Mus musculus: one gene and its partner. The protein of the gene in region 2 purifies or fractionates together with the protein of the main gene of each other region. This does not show direct contact. Links are inferred from orthologs where the notes say so. Each region holds a gene or a part of one and is shown on either strand. Other genes may lie near its edges. The genes, in order: Pde4dip and Cdk5rap2.

The links.
Region 1: the proteins of Cdk5rap2 (region 2) and Pde4dip purify together in Homo sapiens (affinity purification with mass spectrometry; 3 studies listed by BioGRID and IntAct, counting the BioPlex papers as one, with this or other methods). This does not show direct contact. The link is inferred for Mus musculus from reciprocal best matches to the Homo sapiens genes CDK5RAP2 and PDE4DIP.

What each region holds. Positions count from the first base shown.
Region 1 is NC_000069.6:97,694,634-97,704,289, reverse strand, and holds part of Pde4dip (myomegalin), read left to right. Parts: intron 1-871; coding exon 872-1,123; intron 1,124-1,922; coding exon 1,923-2,054; intron 2,055-2,612; coding exon 2,613-2,732; intron 2,733-4,305; coding exon 4,306-4,495; intron 4,496-5,056; coding exon 5,057-5,181; intron 5,182-7,075; coding exon 7,076-7,300; intron 7,301-8,291; coding exon 8,292-8,411; intron 8,412-9,171; coding exon 9,172-9,398; intron 9,399-9,656. UniProt on the Homo sapiens protein: Functions as an anchor sequestering components of the cAMP-dependent pathway to Golgi and/or centrosomes.
Region 2 is NC_000070.6:70,262,605-70,272,260, reverse strand, and holds part of Cdk5rap2 (CDK5 regulatory subunit-associated protein 2), read left to right. Parts: intron 1-5,212; coding exon 5,213-5,786; intron 5,787-7,537; coding exon 7,538-7,770; intron 7,771-9,656. UniProt on the Homo sapiens protein: Potential regulator of CDK5 activity via its interaction with CDK5R1. Negative regulator of centriole disengagement (licensing) which maintains centriole engagement and cohesion. Involved in regulation of mitotic spindle orientation.

The DNA of each region.
Region 1 (9,656 bases), on a different chromosome or scaffold from region 2:
TATAAAGGACATCACCTGAACTCCTGCCTCTTCTTACAGTGCTCAACGAGAGGCCTCATTTTCATAGGGTCTTTGAAAGCGTCATCCTAGGGAAGAGGAGGTCCCGCTGCCCTCCTTAGGATGAGCTTGATGGTTCGTTAAGTCAATGGTCTTTATCCTTTCTAATACATATGTGACCCCCAACCATAAAATTATTTTCTTGCTACTCCATAACTGTAATTTTGCTACTGTTATGAATCATAATGCAAATGTCTGATATGCAACCCCTGTGAAAGGGTTATTCATCCCCAAACGGGTTGCAGTCCACAGGTTGAGAGCCATTGCTTTAAGGTTTGATGGCCGTGGAGGGGATCCAGATCACAACTTTTCTTATACAGGAGGTTTTCCAACGTGAACAAAGAGTTCTTCAATCTGGAAAAGTCCTATCCCCTGTCTCCCTGAAGGAGGCACGGAAAAACCAACTGGTTAGCGTTGGGCAAAGGCAAGCACAAGCAAACAGATGCTACCACCTGTGGGTGTGCCCAGTCAGATAGCCCATCACATTCTTAATCCCTAACTATGGGATGTCTCCTACTTCCGGAACTTTCCTGGATTCGATCATGAGGAATAACAGTAGGAACGAGGAATGGAGCCCCTGGGCTTTTCAGACCCTCCTCTGGGTGTCTCCTGCTCAGAAATGCAGAGGGTGAAAGTCAGGCTTGAGGCTTTGAGTCTTCATCTAACCGATATTCTGTGATGAACTGGGGTACTAACCTCCCCCTGCCCCCTCCCCGACCCCGTGTCCACTGCTAGTCTCCATTCTCAGCCATCTCGATTCCCTTACCGCTCTTGGCTACTGATACCCTCTCTCACTGTGTTTCTATCTGCCCAGGTGTTAGCATTGCCCCTCCCGCCTCCACATCCACGCTGCTCAGCAACCAGACTGAAGCTAGCTCTCCCCACTACATCAACCCTGCCCAGCCCCACACTCCGACAAGGAGCACCATAGAGCTGGGACGAATCCTGGAGCCTGGATACCTGGGAAGCAGCGGCCAGTGGGACATGATGAGGCCCCAGAAAGGGAGCGTCTCTGGGGAGCTGTCCTCAGGCTCCTCGATGTACCAGCTTAACTCCAAGCCCACTGGTAAGGCACAGAGCTGGGACCTTCTCTCCTCGGTCAGGAAATACATAGAAAGGATACAACAGTCTCTACCCCTCATACATGCTCTATGCACAAAATCCAGTCACAGCAGATAGAAGAGCATAACTATGGCAAAAAGCACAATGCAGCCCGGTCCCAACAGCAAGAAACTGAATTTCCAAGAGAAAGCCAGAAGTGAGTCAGTTCACTTGTAACCTAGCAGTGCTGCCTCTCCTGGGTCCTTCGGGGTCCTAGAACCATGCAGGGGATTCCTTCTTCCTGCCTGACTAAAAGTGACATGTGAAAGCATCGAGCATCAGTCCTTAGCTACGATTGGTAGGTTGAAGGCATGTGGTTTTTACCTTAGGTCTTTTTTCTAGGTGGGAAAGAATGGATTTTGCTAAAAGCTATTGAGTAGCTTATCAGGAAAAGGAATTGGAAAAAAAAAAAAAAAGGCAGTAAGGCCTTCCTTTTCACCCCCAAAACCACACCCGAGAGGTGGATCCGCCTTTCCAGATGGCAGTTGGGCTCAGTTAGATCTGTCGGTTATTTTCTCAGTGATTTGAAGCCCCCGTTCGCCAAGAATGGAGGCCCGTGGGCTTTCCTTAGCAAGAGGCCACCCTATGGTCATGAAGCTCCTGTGTCACTAAGTGGAGCTGATTGACTGTGTGAAAGGACACTGTGGGCAAAAGGAAGGCGACATTGGGGGACAGGCTGGGTTGTCCACTGGCAGAGCTCACCTCACCCTAGTAACCAGCCTTGTGTCTCCTGCTTCTGCCCTGTCCGGGGATGATGGCTGCAGGCGCTGACCTGTTGGAAGAGCATTTAGGTGAGATCCGGAACCTGCGCCAGCGCCTGGAGGAGTCCATATGTGTCAATGACCGGCTGCGGGAGCAGCTGCAGCACAGGCTCAGCTCCACTGCCCGAGAAAACGGTAGGCAAGGCCACTAGGCAGAGCCTCACGCTTTTCTAATCAGTCCGATACTCTTTACTGGATTGTCACAGTCAGGCGAGGGTTGGAGGGTATGGAGAGCCGTTATTTCTGCTGTGCACTCTGAGCTCAGAGACTGACTTTCCTCAGACAAAGATCTGGCCTCTCGTCCTTAACCTGTTTATATGCACTGTGTCCTTGTGATTGATAACCAGTAGAGGCAGGTCTATGAAGACCCACCCCCGACCCACTTCACTCAGGAGGCCATTAGTCCCTACCTCCCCCATCCCACAAGATGTTGTCATTTGGATGTCACTCTTTGTATATGCAACTGCTCATTCCTCCCCAGCTAGTTAGGAGACGCGTCCTACACTGATATAATGGGTACAAGTGCTGGGTGCACACAAAGACGGCATGGTCTGAAAACACACACACACTGCTCAGCATCCAGCCATTATGCTCAAGTTAATCCCAGGCCTTGAGGGCTGGAGCTTGCTGCTGGGTTGGGACAGCAGATCTTTGAGGGGATGTAACATGGGACGTGTGTGTTGTCCGGGACAGGTTCCACCTCTCACTTCTACAGTCAGGGCCTGGAGTCCATGCCTCAGCTCTACAATGAGAACAGAGCCCTAAGGGAAGAAAACCAAAGCCTGCAGACACGGCTCAGCCATGCTTCCAGAGGTAGGTTGTGTAAACCCAGACTTACAGTCCTCCTAGGACTATCTCTATCCTCGCCAGGGCAATCACCAGTTGGAAAAAGCAAAGAGAAGGTTTAGTTACCAGCCCAATATTTACATTGCTAATCTGTCTTCAAAGGGCTACTCCCAAGGCAGTGGTTCTCAACCTGTGGTTCAAGACCCTTTGAGGAGGGTCAAGTGACCCTTTCATAGGGGTTGCCTAAGACTTTTAGAAAACACAGACGTTTTATGATTCATGACAGAAGCAAGATTACAGTTATGAAGTAAAAACAAAAATAACTCTATGTCTGGGGATCACCACAGCATGAGGAACTGTATTAAAGGGTTTCAGCATTAAGAAGGTTGAGAACCACTGCCATAAGAGATCCTAACCCTCGCCCTCAGGCTCCTAGGTTCTAAGACAGAATGGCTCTAGGAAGGTTATCCCTTTTGAAAGCCTGCCTATATTCAATAACAGTGCCTGACCGGTCAGTTTGGAATCCATCCCCTTCTGTCTGCTCACACCTGATTGGAACCATAAAACCAGAGAGCATGCTTGTGTGTATTTTCTCATACAGCCTCAAATAAGTACAGCTCTGGACAGCTGTCTGGGTCCTGTTCTGCCATTCCTCTGCCTTTCCCTACAGTCCTCTTCAGGCTGCTCTCCGGCGGTCCTCCTATGGTTCCATGTTCTCTAGAACTTTCCCAACCCTACTTAATGGTCATCTATAAGTGGGCATTATTGCCTATGTGGCCTGAGAGGCAAATTACATAGTATTAGTTGACTTGATTAAATCAATGTATAACTAGTAACAAATGATTTTTATTTACAAAAAAAATCTACTTAATGGCCATTAAAAGACTAAGAGCGATATATCAAAGGATTAAGTCCAGAATGAAAGAATCCTTGTGGAGGCAAAAGACGAGAAGAACTATTTCTAAGGAAACTCCTTAGTACTTTTGTACTAAGTCAGTTCAGAAAGACATGAGAGGCAGGGCCCTTGCTGGAGGATGACTAAGACTGCTGGATGAGGGCAAGGCAGAGAAATTAATCTACCAGTGCATGCTGGGACAGAGGAGGGCAGCCTCACAGATAGGAAATAGTAAGAGTTCCAAATGAACACAGTTATACCCAAGGACTGGCCTTATATAAAGAGTCCCTACAGATCATCTTTAAGAAGTTTTGACCAGAGAGGTATCACATGGCCAGAAAACACCAGCTGTCCACATTTTCAAAAGAATTGAAAAAGAATATGTTCTAAAAACCACAAACAAGAAATCAGTGCTGGTCTTTGATAAGACTGGAGGTGTACAGTTGAATAGCTGCCCACGAACACCTAGAAAACGCTGAGCTTCGGGAACTCGCTGTCTCCTCTAAGAGCTAGGGCAGGTGTTCTTAAATGGAGGGTCAGATACCACAAACACCACTGCCACCCAAGCCCCAGTACGTAGGGTCCACTAAGCCAGACTGCTCGGCCACACGGGACCTTCCTTCCCCTGGCCTCACGTGTGCTTGGGTTTGTCTTTCTCATGGGCTTCAGGCCATGACATAAATACCCCTGTGTCCCGCTCATCAGGACACTCCCAGGAAGTGGATCACCTGCGGGAGGCTCTGCTCTCCTCCAGATCCCAGCTTCAGGAGCTGGAGAAGGAGCTGGAGCAGCAGAAGGCTGAGCGGCAGCAGCTCCTGGAAGACTTGCAGGAGAAGCAGGATGAGATCGTGCAGTTCCGAGAGGAGAGGCTGTCGCTCCAGGAAAACAACTCCAGGTAGGCAGGGCCTTGATATGGAATGGCCCGGCTTCTCAGTGCAGAAGGGATATTGACAAATCAGTAGTTTCCTCCTTTGGGAACTTCAGTTCCTTCTTTACTCTTCTGCCTCACTGGTCACTTGGAGCAAAAGGAAGACTCTATTTGAGACACACACACAAAAAGAGAGAATAGTGTTTTTATAGTATGAAGTAGAGTGATAAAATCCTATTACAGAGGTTTCCATCTGTCAGAGACTGGCAGGAGAGCAGTCCCACCCTTCTCACTAGATGCATGACATCACTCTTGCCATAAACTGCAAGTTGTTATCCCAGTGGAAGCCCTGCATCTTTCTGTCAATGTGGAGAGCACTGTGGGGCAGAGAGGGGCTTGTAGTGTGCTTACACTGCTGCCTGCACACAGAGCTAGTGTTCCAACTTCAGGCTAACTAACTTTACCTGCCCCAGAGTCTGCCAAATGAATGTGATGGCCAGGCCATCCTACCAGGCCAACTGAGGCAAAGGTTGGCTCGAGGCTCATTTCTCCCACTTGGCTCAGTAAACCCTTGCCTCTCCTTGGCAGGCTGCAGCACAAGCTGGCCCTCCTGCAACAACAGTGCGAAGAGAAACAGCAGCTCTCCCTGTCCCTGCAGTCAGAGCTCCAGATCTACGAGTCCCTCTGTGAAAATCCCAAGAAGGCCTTGAAAGGTATGAGCCCCCATTCTCACCAAAGCCCAAGGGTTGACATGAGCAGATCAAGCCTGGGTACCCTTAAGGACAGACTGAAAGATCACTTCACCCACTTAATAAAAAAAAGCAACTTAATCAGGAGCAAGATTATAGCATGGTTTATATAAAGAAATACCCTAGGGCTGTCACCATCTGAAAGGATCCTTACCTGTGCTGAAGGACAGACCATGACAGCCCATACCATCAGCATCTATCCCGCCTCCCTTCCCCAAGTGGAGAAACCGACTCAAAACCAAAAGAAAGGAGAGGTAAGAAGTCAGGGCAGTGGGAAGGGAGGCTGCTGCCACATAGAAAGCCTAAAATTCAAGACCAGAGTTTACTTTCCAGGAAGACGGCTCCAGAGTTTTAAGATGCTGAGTCTATGGAACATACTAGAGTCAGGACTTAGGAGACCTCCAGTCTGGGAAGAATTTTGGATAAATGTAGCAGTGTTTTTAGATCAAGAGACAAGGTCCTACTGTGGAGATAAAGGACAGCAATAGCCATGCTAATTCAGAAGGGGGATAGCAAATAAGGCCCCAGCCCTGGGCAGAGGACCACAGGCCCTAGGGAAGAGTGCATCACCTGGTTATCCACCATCAAATGCTCAGCCCAGAAAACACAGGAGTGACATTATAGGGACTGAGCAGGTGTGTGTGTGTGTGTGTGTGTGTGTGTGTGTGTGAAACAATTAGGCCATGAGCTGGAAGGGGGTGGTTATATGGTTGAAAGGGAAGGGTGAAATGATATAATTTCAAAAAAATTTAAAATTGTGATAAGAGATATGGTACAACTGGAAGATAAGGGCAATGAATGCTGGGAATATTTTTTTCAAAAAACAGTCAAAAGTTAGTGAGAACTTGGAATGAGAGGAAGAGAAAACACACTAGAACCTTCATCCATGAAGCTGCTTCATCATGACCACCCTTCCCCTGCACCACACACACACACACACACACACACACACACACACACACACACACACACACTGGGTTTGTGTATCCTTTTCATGCTGTGTTCTGTTAGTGCATGGGCCTTCCTGAGTTCATTTCAAACCAATTACTACTAATTCTTCATTTGAATTCCAAAATCCAGCAAGGTAGCTAAAGCTGCAGGCTTTTCCTGTACTCATTTGATGACAAAGCATTCCTGAAGAGGTGGGAGGACAGCCAGTCTCTGTCTGCTTAGACTGTCCACGTAGCCGGTGACAAAAATAATTATGTGTTGGGCTAAGGCCTGAGGGCTGAGGGCAGCTGCGCCCTGCAGGTAGTTGGAGGTATAGATAAAGTCTTGGTAAAATCCAAAACTAATTCTGCCCTTCAAAATATAAGTGGCTCTCAGGTTGGACTGTTGATTAGATCTTTTTATCCTTCCATATCAAATGCGTGTGGTAAGTGGTGAAGAGAAATTGAAACTTCACTTAGGAATGTTGAGCCCAGGTCTAAGACCTGACTGACTTCCCGTGTTTTGTCCCCAGAAGCCCCACGTGTTCGGATTATCCTCCCTGCATATGGAATCCGTCAGTTGTCCTCCCTCGACCTTCACTCCTTTTTCGTTCAGTGCTGACCTGCTTTCTAGCCTGCAGTACAAAGTTTAACAGGGAGATGACGCAGTAGGCATATTCTCACCTGCCAGTCCAAACGCCTCATGGGCACACATGACTAATCTGACCCTCAGAGAAATCCCAGGCTAGTTATATGCAACCTTGCTGTGCTCCCAGGGCTGAATGAGAAGGTTGTATCCCACAGACGTGTGGCCAAGCCCCTGAGACTCCAGTGGGACCCTTGGCAGAAAGGAATGTCACAGAGCAATATCTGACTATTACATGGAAATGCATACTGGTGCCATTAGGTGTCCTCCCTTCTACTTTCAGCTTTTAGCCTAGATTCCTGTCACCAAGTCCCGGGTGAGTTAAGCTGCCTGGTGGCAGAGATTCGAGCTCTGAGAGGACAGTTGGAGCAGAGCATTGAAGTGAACAACCGTCTTCGGCTACAGCTGGAACAGCAGATGGATCGTGGTGCTGGCAAAGCCAGTCTCGGCCCCATCGCTGTTGGCCAGAGCTTCCCAGACAAGGCAGAGCCAGCAAACCTGCACCAAGGTAGGGAAGAAGAGGAGAGCCAGAGCCCTCTGCTCTGGGATGTCTGTGGGACGGGACAGTCTTGCTGAACCCATCAGTGAGGGTCAGACAGAATCTGGGGATGTTCTGGGGCCTCCCGAGTGACAGCCTGGCAGTTAAGATCAGGCCTGTCTCCAGATTCTGAGTTTGCTTCTCACAAGCCAGCATGCAGCATCCCTGGACTTGAAGCTCAGGGCACAGAGGTAATTACATCTGAAACTTACTTTGTCTTAAACGCTCAAGTGTCTTACTCTTAGTTTACTCCACTTGAAAATGGGGCTTATAAAAAAAAATATAGCCCGTATGGTTTTCTATAGTATTAAATAAAATAATTGTCAAAGGCTTGAAACAATAAGGATTGATTCCTCACATTTATGTAGTGCTTTGGAATTTACCAGTTTCCTCATATATACAAATTTTTTGAAATAGGGCACTTTCCCCTCTTCTGTGTTTCTCATGAGAAAATTGAATCCCAAGACAGTTAGTAGGCAAGCAAGGGTCACTGGGTCTAAGAATCAGGACCAGGACCAGGTGCCTGAGCTTTGCTGTAGTTTCTAACATCCAGGGTGATGGCCAAACTGCTGAACTGCACCCTTTGCGAACCCATTCATTCCACGGTAAACTATTTGTTTTCTCAGTGCCGTGTCAAGTGTTCTTCTACATGTTAACATCTATATTATGTACATCTGTGCACATTTGCATTTCACTTCCAGTCATGATGGTACTAGACCCTACATCCAAAATTATATCCAAAATCGGTCTTATAAAATACCTACCGATTTTTTCAACTAGAAATGACATTCTCATGAAACATTCACATCAATAGAAGAGCGCACACTAGGTGCCCTGCCGCCTCCCTGTGCTGTGGCCTGTGAGTGCTGGTTCCGAGGTTGATCTTGGGCTAGGCATGCACTGTGTGGCTCAGTGTGCAGCGTTCTGGCAGACCTGACACAGTGGCTGTTTCATTCCCTAGGTTCCGCTGCTTCCCCTCCAGTGCGGGACGTTGGCTTGAATTCCCCAGCCATGGTCCTCCCCAACTCTTCTTGCTCCGCTCCTGGCTCAGACCATGCCATTGTCACCAGGACAAACAACGGTAAATAAAGCGGTGAAAGGACTCAGGTGGTGATGGGGAATTATTGACGCAAACAACCTTCGGTTGGCTCTCTGAACCTGCCGTACCTGTGCCTAGAGATCTTTCTCAGTCTCGTGCTATGCACAGTCCTCTGCCTTGGTTGCTCTGTCATTGCTCTGCCCTTGAGTACGGCTCCTGTATTCATCATTCTTTACCTAGAAACTTACACATTAATAGTATTTACCCTGAATATTTCACCTGTTGAAAGATGTCACAATATCTTTTCTTTTTGCTGTGACCAAGTTTCCTGAGAAAGCAAAGCAGGTGAGAAAGGTGTGCTTCTGGCTCACCCCTGCAGGTTACACTCCACCAGAGCAAGTGTGTCACAGGAGCTTAAGGGAGCTTCTCCCATAGCATCTGACATCAGAATCAGAGAGCCAGGAACGCATGTATGCTAGTGCTTAGAGCCCCTGCCAAACTCTGTCAGGCTCAGGATAGCCTGTCTAGAGAACACTCCTGACCACAGTTAAGATGTGTCTTCCCAATAAGTTAATGCCATCAAAATGAAATTCTGTCTGGTGACACTACCACAACCCAGTAACGATGTGTCTATCAAAGTGATATAAGAATGATTATACAGAACACGGAATGCTCTGTGGACTCTGCCATCCTATAGTTTTGAAGGCTGACTCGCTCCTTGCCTCTTTCATTATCCCCTTGGAGTTCGAACTGAGGTCGTTATCATATGTAACAATGGATCCTACTTTTGCTTCTTTGTCAGAGCTAAGTTCAGATGATTCTGCAGCAATGAAGAACCCTCCCAAGCTGGAGGTCGATGCTACCGATGGCCCATTTGCCAACAAACACGGAAGACACGTCATCGGCCATGTTGATGACTACGATGCTCTGCAACAGCAGATTGGGGAAGGCAAGCTGCTGATTCAAAAGATACTGTCTCTCATGAGGTCAGCACGCAGCATCCCTGGGCAAGAAGCTCAGGACACAGAGGTAATTACCTGAACCTCTTAGTTACGCTCGTACTCTGGCTGCACCTTCTTTGCGAAGTCCTTACTTCTAGGCTTCCCATCTCCCAGCAGCCGGGAAGTGGCTTGTGTTTATCCCACCCAGGCCCTTCTCTGTCTCCTGTTTTCACTCTGCTACAGAACAGGCTGACTTGATATTTTGACCAAGAACTTCAGAAAACCCTGCACTTCATGATAAGGATGCTGGCATACAGCCCCAGCTAGGTAGACTAAAGTCAATCGT
Region 2 (9,656 bases):
CCTCCAGCAAGTTGTATCACCTCCCTTTAATTATGAAGTATTAAAAGCACACAGATATACATAAAGGACAGTACAACAACTATCCACATTTCTGTTTATCCAAGATGAGCCAATGCTTAATGCTTACTCCCTTTTCCTTAGATGTTTTATCTTTTCATTAAAAACAAAATCACTCTTGTTTTGGATAGAATTCACTTCATAAAACGTTGTGATCATTGGGAACTCTAAATCTGTGATGAGATGGCTAGGGAATAACCAGTCTCTGGAAAAAGACTGAGCCGTGGCCTCAGAAGGTCTGCAGTGCATTCTCCTCAGCCTGGACGACTGCACGGCCTTGTGTTTCTTCTGGGTGTTCTGGGCGTTCAGTCCAAAGCTCCTGTACCAGGCAGCAAAGTGCTGCTTAGCTCAGTGTGGGTTATGGTTTGCATGTGAAATGCCTCTCACAGGTTCATGTGTTTGAACACTTGCTCCCTAGTGGAGGTGCTGATTTTAGAAGCTGTGGAGCCTGGTCCTTGTTCATGGCTAGCGAATGGTGGAGGTCTCTGGATGGTGCCTTACTCTCTCAGTAACCACTTGTCACTGAGCTGTATATATCTTTAGGAGTGTGCGTCCAGTGCAATACACATGTGGCTGCTTCTTCTTGAATTCCCCTTTTCCTTGCCTCGCTGAAGCTTCATTCTGAGGTCTCTACCCTCAATGTATCTTTTGTGGGCATACTTTTTGACTTTCTTAGGACTTGAATACTGGTGTTGAGTTAATTTGTTCACTGACTGCCTGGCTCGGAGCCGCATGCCATGGGTAACACCTTACCTTTGGCTCCTTTTCCAAGAACACCTTGGTAAGTGCTTGGGGAGTGAATGGAGGCCATAAGTTGCCCGGGTCCTATTGGCCTTACTCTTGAGGCTTCAGAGATGTCTCTACTCATGCTTTTGACATAGGAGACCCCAATCATAGGAGTAGTTTAACAGAAAGCATCATTTGCAGTGTTTCTGTTTTATAGTTTGGGTAGATCCTCCAGCTCTTAAAGCCTTCAGTAACACAGACAACTCAGGTGGGGTGCTGGGCACATAAGCCGCTTTTGGTACATGCATAATCTTAAGTCCCAGGCCTGCCAGCCTGTGAGTTCAGACGTGTACTTATACACATTATACACATTATACATATACACATTTCTCACAGCGTTCATACAGTTTTAACCAAACAGTGGAGGTGCTTTCTTCAGAACTTCATTTTGGGCTGCTGAGCAGAGGTTAGCAAAGTGACATTGCGTTACTGATGCAGGCCATAAGACTTGCTATATATTGGCCTTGGAGCTAAGAAGTCAAATCCCTGCCTCTGCTAATTCACAACTATTGTAGACGGTGGACTTTTGAGGGTACTTCTTCTTAAGACAGGTTGTGGTGGTGGTGGTGTTTTTGTTTTCCTTTTACTGACAATGGATTTTTTTCTCTCTCACATAATGTATACTGATTATAGTTTCCCCTGGCTCGGCTCCACCACGTTCCCCCTCACCTGCTCACCTGTCACGATCTACTACTCCGTGTTTCTGATTTGAAAGTAAACAGGCTTCTAGTGGATAATAATACAAAAGAATGTGTAATAAGATGAAACAAAAACTATCACATGGGAATTGAACAAGACAAACCAATAGAAGGAAAATAAATATCTCAAGAGAAGCCACAAGAATCAGAGACCACTGATTTGTACCTTCAGTGCAAATCCAATAACAGCACTAAACTGGAAGCCATAATGTATACCGGATGGACCCGGGTCAGACCTATGCAGTCCTGTGACTACTGCATCAGTCTAGGAGTTCATGAGAACTTTAATTACATTGATTTAGACGGCCTTATTTTCATGATATCCTCCATCCCCTTTGCCTCTCAGACTCTTTCCTTATCTTTGTCTGGAGATTTCCATGAACTCTGAGGGGAAGAATTTGATGGAGATATCTCATTTAAGTCTGTGTGTTCTAAGGTTTTTCATTCTCTGCATTGTGTCTAGCTGTCTCTGTATTTGTCTCATTTGCTGCAGGATGGTATTTCTCTGGTGATGGCTAAACAAGGCACTGCTCTGAGTATAGCAGAATGTCATTAGGAGTCATTTTACTGCTGTTTTTTAAAAAGAATAGTAGTATTTGTTTTTACCCTATGTCCCTGGGCTATGTAGTCTCTGTTTCTTGGTCACTCAAGCTGTGCCAGGTATAGATCCCATCTCATGGAGTAATCCTGAAGTCAAATCAGATATTGATTGGTTATTCCCAAAATGTTTGAGTCACGATTGCCCTAGCAATTCTTGCAGACAGAATATCATTGCAGAGTAAAGATTTTGTGGCTGGCTTGGTGTTTACATTTCACTTTCGGTAGTAGGTATAAGACCATCCTTTACCAAAGATAGTAGAACCTAGGAAATGGGAGTGAAGACTGTTCATACCAGCTTGACTTCTCCATGCTCAACAAGATATGCAGGTGTTTTCTTCAGTAATGGGGCCTTGCTGACAGTTTGTGAGAACAACCCGTAGCCTTGGCAACAGCCTGAGTTGTTTGGAGATTCCTATGGGACCTCTTTGACCAACAATTCAATTAAATGTAACCCATCTCAGGACTGAAGGTTTCATTTGGTGACAAGAGATGAACAATTGGGACTCTGTCTCCTCCATTGTTTGGCATTTCACTTAGATCACCTTCATATATGTATATTATCCCGTCCCGCGGGATTCAGTTATTCGTGGGTGCGAGGGGGACCGCAAACCTGGAAGGAAATGGGAGTAAAAGAAAGAAGAGTCGGAGGACCAAGTAGATTGAACCTATCAAGGTCTCGTTTATTAGGCTGAGGTGCCTTCTTTTTAAAGCATACATCTCGGGGAATATGGGAGGGGTCTAGGGAGAATTATACAAAGAACAAAGAAGTGGGCATCTGCTGACATGGGGGCCGAAGTCAGGCGCCAGGCAGTGGGCACTCTGGATCTTATCTCTGGAACATCGATCCTCCTTGACGGCCTTGGGGGTCAGGCTGGGCTCAGGCGTAACTCATGTCCTTGGATGGCATGGGAACTCAGGAAGAGATAGGGAAGAGGGGACTATAATTTAGCTTTTACAGCCTCAGGTGCCAGGAAAGGAATAGGGAGGAAAGGGGGGTGACAACCAGCTCTTAGTACAAGGCCCTTGATTTGTTAAGGAGATTGTGAAGGGCTCACTTTCTCACGGGATGGTCTCTGACAGTATATATTTTAGGAAGCTTCTACTTGTATTGTGTTTCCATAGTACCTTGAGGGTGCGTCTAAAGGGTGACATATAGGAATGCTATGCTTGTTGGTTTGTTAGGAGCAGAGTTTAAAGTGAAGGTGTGAGCATACACAATACCCCTGTCACTCTAAGTGCCAGGTCTCAAAGTGACATTTGTGTAGGAGTTGCCTTTTTCTATGCTTTATGTTTTATTCCTTCACAAAACACATCAAGATTATGTTTAGTTTTTTGAGGGAAGAAAGATTTCTTCTTCATACTATCAAAAGCAAGCCATGGTATGAGGTTTCTATGTTCATGGGGCTATTCAATCTTTTGATGTTGCAGCATGACATTGTGGTCTATAGATGTGGTAGGCTGCATCCTCGGCTTCCTGGGACACATGTAACTTATGGGGCTTAGGTTAGTATATATTTCCTTATCTTGGAGGATGACTTCCTAGAAGAAAACCTTGCTGAGAGATCAGGTGTTCTTTCTGCTTCTTATCCTCTTTGAGCCCAGTAGTTTTCACGTACATTTTCCATCGCCCGTCTTGTGCCGGATACCAGAGAAACAGATGAACAGCATGGTTTCCCCTTGATGACATATTAAGCACTGGAGAACTGCTATATTGGGAATACTTCTATTAAGGCATGTACCTACTGTTGTCCAAAAATCCAATGATGATATTGACATTGTTAACAATGATAAGAGTAGCCTTGAGACTGTGAGGAACAAATTATAGAACCTGTGGCTCCACAGACTGTCTTTCTGAAAGCCATCCTAGATCATCTAGTCCGGCTCATGTTGTTGTCTTTAAAGCCTTTTCCTGAGCCAGCCTTTGCTTTGATGCCTTCCATGATGACATCTTCTTCCATCGTTGACGAATTGGTTCTAAAGAATCAAGGAGCATTCCTGTTCTCTGAATTCATTTACTGCTGAATTTATTATTCCTGTTAGTCTTTTTCTGATATTGTTCAATATAATCTCAACCAACAAATACTGCTGGTTCTTCTCCTGAGTGGTGTTCTTGTTACCTTGCAAGTGAAATTCTGGAGGCTCAGAGTGGCCCATTAATTTGCTCAAGTAAGGTTATTTAAAACAAAGTGGCACAGCCAGTGTTGGAGACCAGGTCTTTTGATTTTAAAGAAGAGATTTTTCAGGCCTAGAAAGATGTCTGAGTGGATAAGAACCCCCACTTACAATGGACCTATATCAAAACCTAACTCCTGAGCTCACAACTGCCTGTAATTCTGGTTCAGCCACTCTCTCCTGACCTGCATGGGCACCTACATGTATGTGATGCATAGACAAGGGGGCACATAATTGTACACAGAAAAGTGTACAGTCCAAAGGTAGGCTCACAGAGAAAGGAAAACTAGGCCTGACTACGGAAGGACAAATATTTATTCTGGACACAGTAAATGCTAAAACATGGAACTGTGAAATAGCTTGATGTGGGGAGAAGGGTCTGATGACTTTGTGGGGACATGCCATGGATGGTGTGTGGGGCTAGGTTGCTTCCAACATGACAAAGAGGGTGGATTGAATGGTAAAATAGTATGCTAGTCAGCTTTCTAGAGCATGACGAAATTTCTGAGACAATCAACTTGAAATAACAGAGAATATTGACTCATGGGTGCAGTCCATGACTTCCTGGACTTGTCACTCTGAGCCTTTGGTGAGGGAATAATATCATGGTGGGGACATTTGATAAAGTATACCTGTTCACCCTCATAATGTTTAGGAACCATTTAGAAACCAGGGTTTGGGGGATAGGGTCTTAAAAGTCCTCTTTAGTGATGCTTTTTTTCTACAAGGCTCCACCTCCTAAACACAGCACAACCTTCCAGTGGTGTTATAAACCAAGCCTTTAATACATGGGCTTTGGGGACATTTAAGATCCAGAATTCAACTGTGGGAAGCTGTAGAGGTAAGAAGTTGATTGCAGCAAAAGGAGACACTGACAAAGATTAGTATTTGATTTTCAGATTCTGAAATCTGTCCACCTGATGACCTTGCCTTATTACCAGCATGCAAAGAGAATCTTGAAGACCTCCTAGGCCCATCCTCCATAGCCACTTACCTGGATTCCAAGAGTCAGCTCTCTGTTAAAGTCAGCGTGAATGGAACTGACCAGTCTGAGAATATCAATATCCCTGATGACACAGAAGACTTAAAACAGAAAATCCACGACTTGCAAACCGAGCTGGAAGGCTACCGGAACATCATTGTCCAGCTACTGAAGCACTCTCAGTGCAGTGAGGCTATTATCACAGTTTTGTGTGGGACAGAAGGGGCCCAAGATGGCTTGAACAAGCCTAAGGGCCATATTGATGAGGAAGAGATGACATTTTCAAGTTTGCACCAAGTACGATATGTGAAGCATATGAAAATCCTCCGTCCACTAACCCCGGAGATGATTGATGGCAAGATGCTAGAGAGCCTCAAGCAGCAGCTGGTGGACCAGGAGCAGGAGCTACAGAAGGAGCAGGACTTGAACTTGGAACTTTTCGGTGAAATCCATGACCTGCAGAACAAGTTCCAAGACCTCTCGCCATCAAGGTACATCCTATTCCTGCTTCATCCTCCTCATTAGGCTTGCAGGTTTCCCAGGTCGTTGCTATGTAGGAGCCCAGCAGCTCTTGAGCGAATGCTACTCCCTGGGTGGGTAGAGTATACCCTAGGGAAGGCTTCACTTGGGCTTCAGGCAGCCACACAGCTTCACTCTATGCATGCGTATGTTAGGAGCTGGGCAACTTCTGAGACTGGCAGGGCAGGAGTTGCCCTCCTCAGGCTGAGGACTCAGTGTAGAAACTCCACAGCCATCAGACGGTGGATTGCAGTGTGTTTACTGAGCTGCCTGCTGTGTTTATTTCTGAACTCTGTTATTGGCTTTTGCCTTGTTGTGGAAATAAAATGGATGTCCTAAGCAGGTTGGGAGGAATATAAATGTTTTTCATATCTTTACCCTTTAAGGTCATCTTAGAGAAATAAGCCTGTGTAGAAAGCAAGAAATTCTTGGGTCATGAAGATAATGCTTTATAGTTATAAATATGTACACTGGCTTCGTGAGATATGGCAAAAAAACGGGATAGTCTGTAAATTTGACCTTCATTCGTTACTAATTTGAGAAAAGCGCTGTTCTGGATTGTCAAGAGATAGAGTGATATTTTATTTTTCAAGGCTACCCAAGCAGCAAGACTGAGGGAAACTTATCAGCCTTCAGGCTCGGACGTGTTTGTTTGATTTTGTTTTGAGATGGGAGTTTCACCACATAGTTGAAGCTGCTCTTAAACTCATATTCTTCCTGCCTCTGCCTCCTGAGTGCTGGATGGCAAGTGTGTACCATTCCACTGGGAAAGAACTCAACTATTTAGTTCCAGACACACTGAGCAGGAGGCATTCTCAACTTGTTTTAGTTAGCAGAGCAACTGAGACTCCTAGAGATTTCTGTGACTTGCCCGTGGTCAGAGCCCCTGCCAGGGTTCCAGCCTATACTGCCCACTCTTAGTGTTCCCCGGAACTACCCCACCCTTGAGATGGCGCTGCTGTGATTTGCCTGTAGTGTATTGGTATTAACAGTGGTCATGGTGAACAGCTTGCTGTGACTGTTTTTCCTCGTCTGAGGAAGCTGCAGGCTTGCTCTTACCGACTCCTGGGCCTGCGTAGAGAAGGGTGGCACCTGGTGGTGAGGGGGTGGTATTGCATGATAACTCTTCACATTCTGTGGGTTTGAAAAGCAAAGCTTTAGCTCTAAATACCTTTGAGAAAGCTTTCCTTCTCTGCAAGAATCCATTTGTTAGAAGCCTGGGAGAACCAGGTGACCTACGATAACTTGATCCCATGACTGATGGGACCTAGTCACTCAGTAAGGTGGTGGCCTGGCGTCCAACTGACTCTTTCCGTTGGAAGCAGGGAGTCCTTTCTTTTTACCCTTGCCGTATACATACTTGTACTTGGTGAGAATTTTCAGTGGGTCCCTGACCTTGGGGCATTTGTTTCTACAATTCAGAATAGTGTCTTTGAAGAGTGTATGGAAACTAATTGTGCTCCTGAGTCCTTGCCAATCTATGCTTTAATTGGGGGCTCTCTAAGGTTACAAATATTGCAGAAGAATCTCTGTTCAAGCATTTGTTGGCTGTTTGAACTCAAAGAAGGGGTGACCTTGTACAGTTTCAATTTTTCTAAAGTATATATGCTTGTACAGCTACGGGCTTTCAGAAATTATGCTCTGTCATTTTTCCAATTAGTGTTGAGGTCACAAAAATTCAATTCGAAAATGACACACACATTTTCCTTCCCTCTTTTATCAGATACGATTCATTGGTTCAGTCCCAAGCGAGGGAGCTCTCCCTTCAGCGACAGCAAATTAAGGATAGCCATGGCATCTGTGTCATTTACCGTCAACACATGAGCACCATGATCAAGGCGTTTGAGGAGCTTCTGCAGGCCAGTGATGTGGACAGTTGCGTGGCCGAGGGCTTCCGGGAGCAGCTGACACAGTGTGCTGGACTGCTAGAGCAACTGGAGAGGCTGTTTCTCCATGGTACGTAGGTAGAGGCCCTCACTGTGACTCTCCGGCTCCTTCGGTGTGGGCACCAGCAGGTTTGATTCGTTGGCTTTGCTGTACACACAAACCTGGCTGTTCTGCCATTAAGCCGAAACAGCCTTCTACTTCACAGTCCTGCGCTTTGCTTCTCTTGTTCCCCCTTGTTTTTCTCAGCCCTCCTATTAGGTAAGTGCTCCTGGACAATCTCTGTCATAAGACAGCAACAGTCCTGTCACTCACCGACATCACTGTCCCCGCTCCTCCATTTTTCTTGGTTTTCATAGTCAGGAAGCTAGTGAGTTAGTGAGTGAGTGAGTCCAGTTTTATGGTATGTAGAGTGGTCCACCAGAGGAAGTACCTTCTCTGTGGTTGTGTTGAGAATGCATGGCCATGCTGGGGTTTTACAACTCATCTCTTCGCATAAGTCTGTTCCCGCTAGATCTGTTTGTATTCTTGATATTGTAGACATTACTTGGTTGGAGCATCACAGTGCTCTTGGAATTGGACAATAACTCAGTGTCATAGTCACTGTTGTGTTGCTTTAAAGAGACACCATGACCAAGGCAGCTCTTGTGAAAAAGGAAGCATTTATTTGGAGTTTGTTTACAATTTCAGAGGTTTTGTCCATTGTCATCATGGTGGGGAAAATGGCAGAGTACAAACAGTAGCTGAGACCTACCTTATTTGTAGGGGTTGGGGAGTACGACACTGGCCTGGCGTAGGCCTTTGAACCTCAAAGTCCTCTCCCAGTGACACACTTCCTCCAACACATCCACACCTCTTAATCCTTATAATGCTCTCAAATAGTACTACTTCCTTTTGGCTAAGTATTCAAATATTTGGTCCTCTGGGGGCCATTCTGATTCAAACCACCATTCTTGGTTTTGTTAGGACTTGGCTTTATGAGTGACATGTGGTTCTCATGACCAAGTACTTTTGGTCAGATGTGTTAATGGTAAATTGAGGCTAAACCCTCAGATCTGTGTGCTTTGCAGGTTAGGAACCTGGCCTTAATCAAAGCAGTAAGTTTCCTAGAGACACAGGGCACTTGGTAATGCCAGATTTAACTGTTCTTTTGCCTCCACTCACAGAGAACCGATAGTTCACCTTGGTCCCTGTATGTACAGTTTAATTCCAGGATAAACACAGGGTAGTTCCCCCATCTGATAGCCATTAGTGGTTTTCCTAGAGACCTGTCATAGACTGGCTTCCTGGCATTTGTTCCCTAAGAGCCCTGAGGATCAGGGTATAGGAGCACTGGCCTATATGCAGCTTGATAAAGGCTGTTCTCTCTGGACCATGCGGTCTAAATAAGCTCACTTTCACTTACTAGTGCAGAAGGAAGTGGGTGTCAGACAGATAAAACTGGATTGACCAAGCCCATAATGCTTTGTTGTGTTTTCTTCAGCTGGTCCTGGCCCTGGCCTTGGCCAGGGAGGTGAGGGGAAAGTTGCCTCTGGCACCAGCTCCTCTCCCTCTTCAGCTGGCTGCTCAATGTCTTCGCTCTCAGCCAGAATCTGACAAACATCCCGCTTGTTGTTTCCTCTGGAGGTAGGAACATTCAGAGCTAGCAGATGGCACGTGTAGAACCTCACTTTCTTCGAGGTACAAAGGCCACAGGAACCTCACTGCAGCTTCCTCCCTATGCAGGGAAGAAAAAGAGGCACAGAGACTGATATTTCTTGGATTCCATGGTAGGAGTCTGGCTCTTGCATTATGATCTGGATTTACAATAAAGTAATTGGCATGTAAAGTAGGTGTATGGCAAAGGTTGTCAAACATTTAAATATAGACCTTAAAAAGTAATACCAAGCATGTTTCCTGTGGAATGATAGCTAGGCAGACACTACCCTGATTGTATCATTTGTGTAGCCGTGCATGGG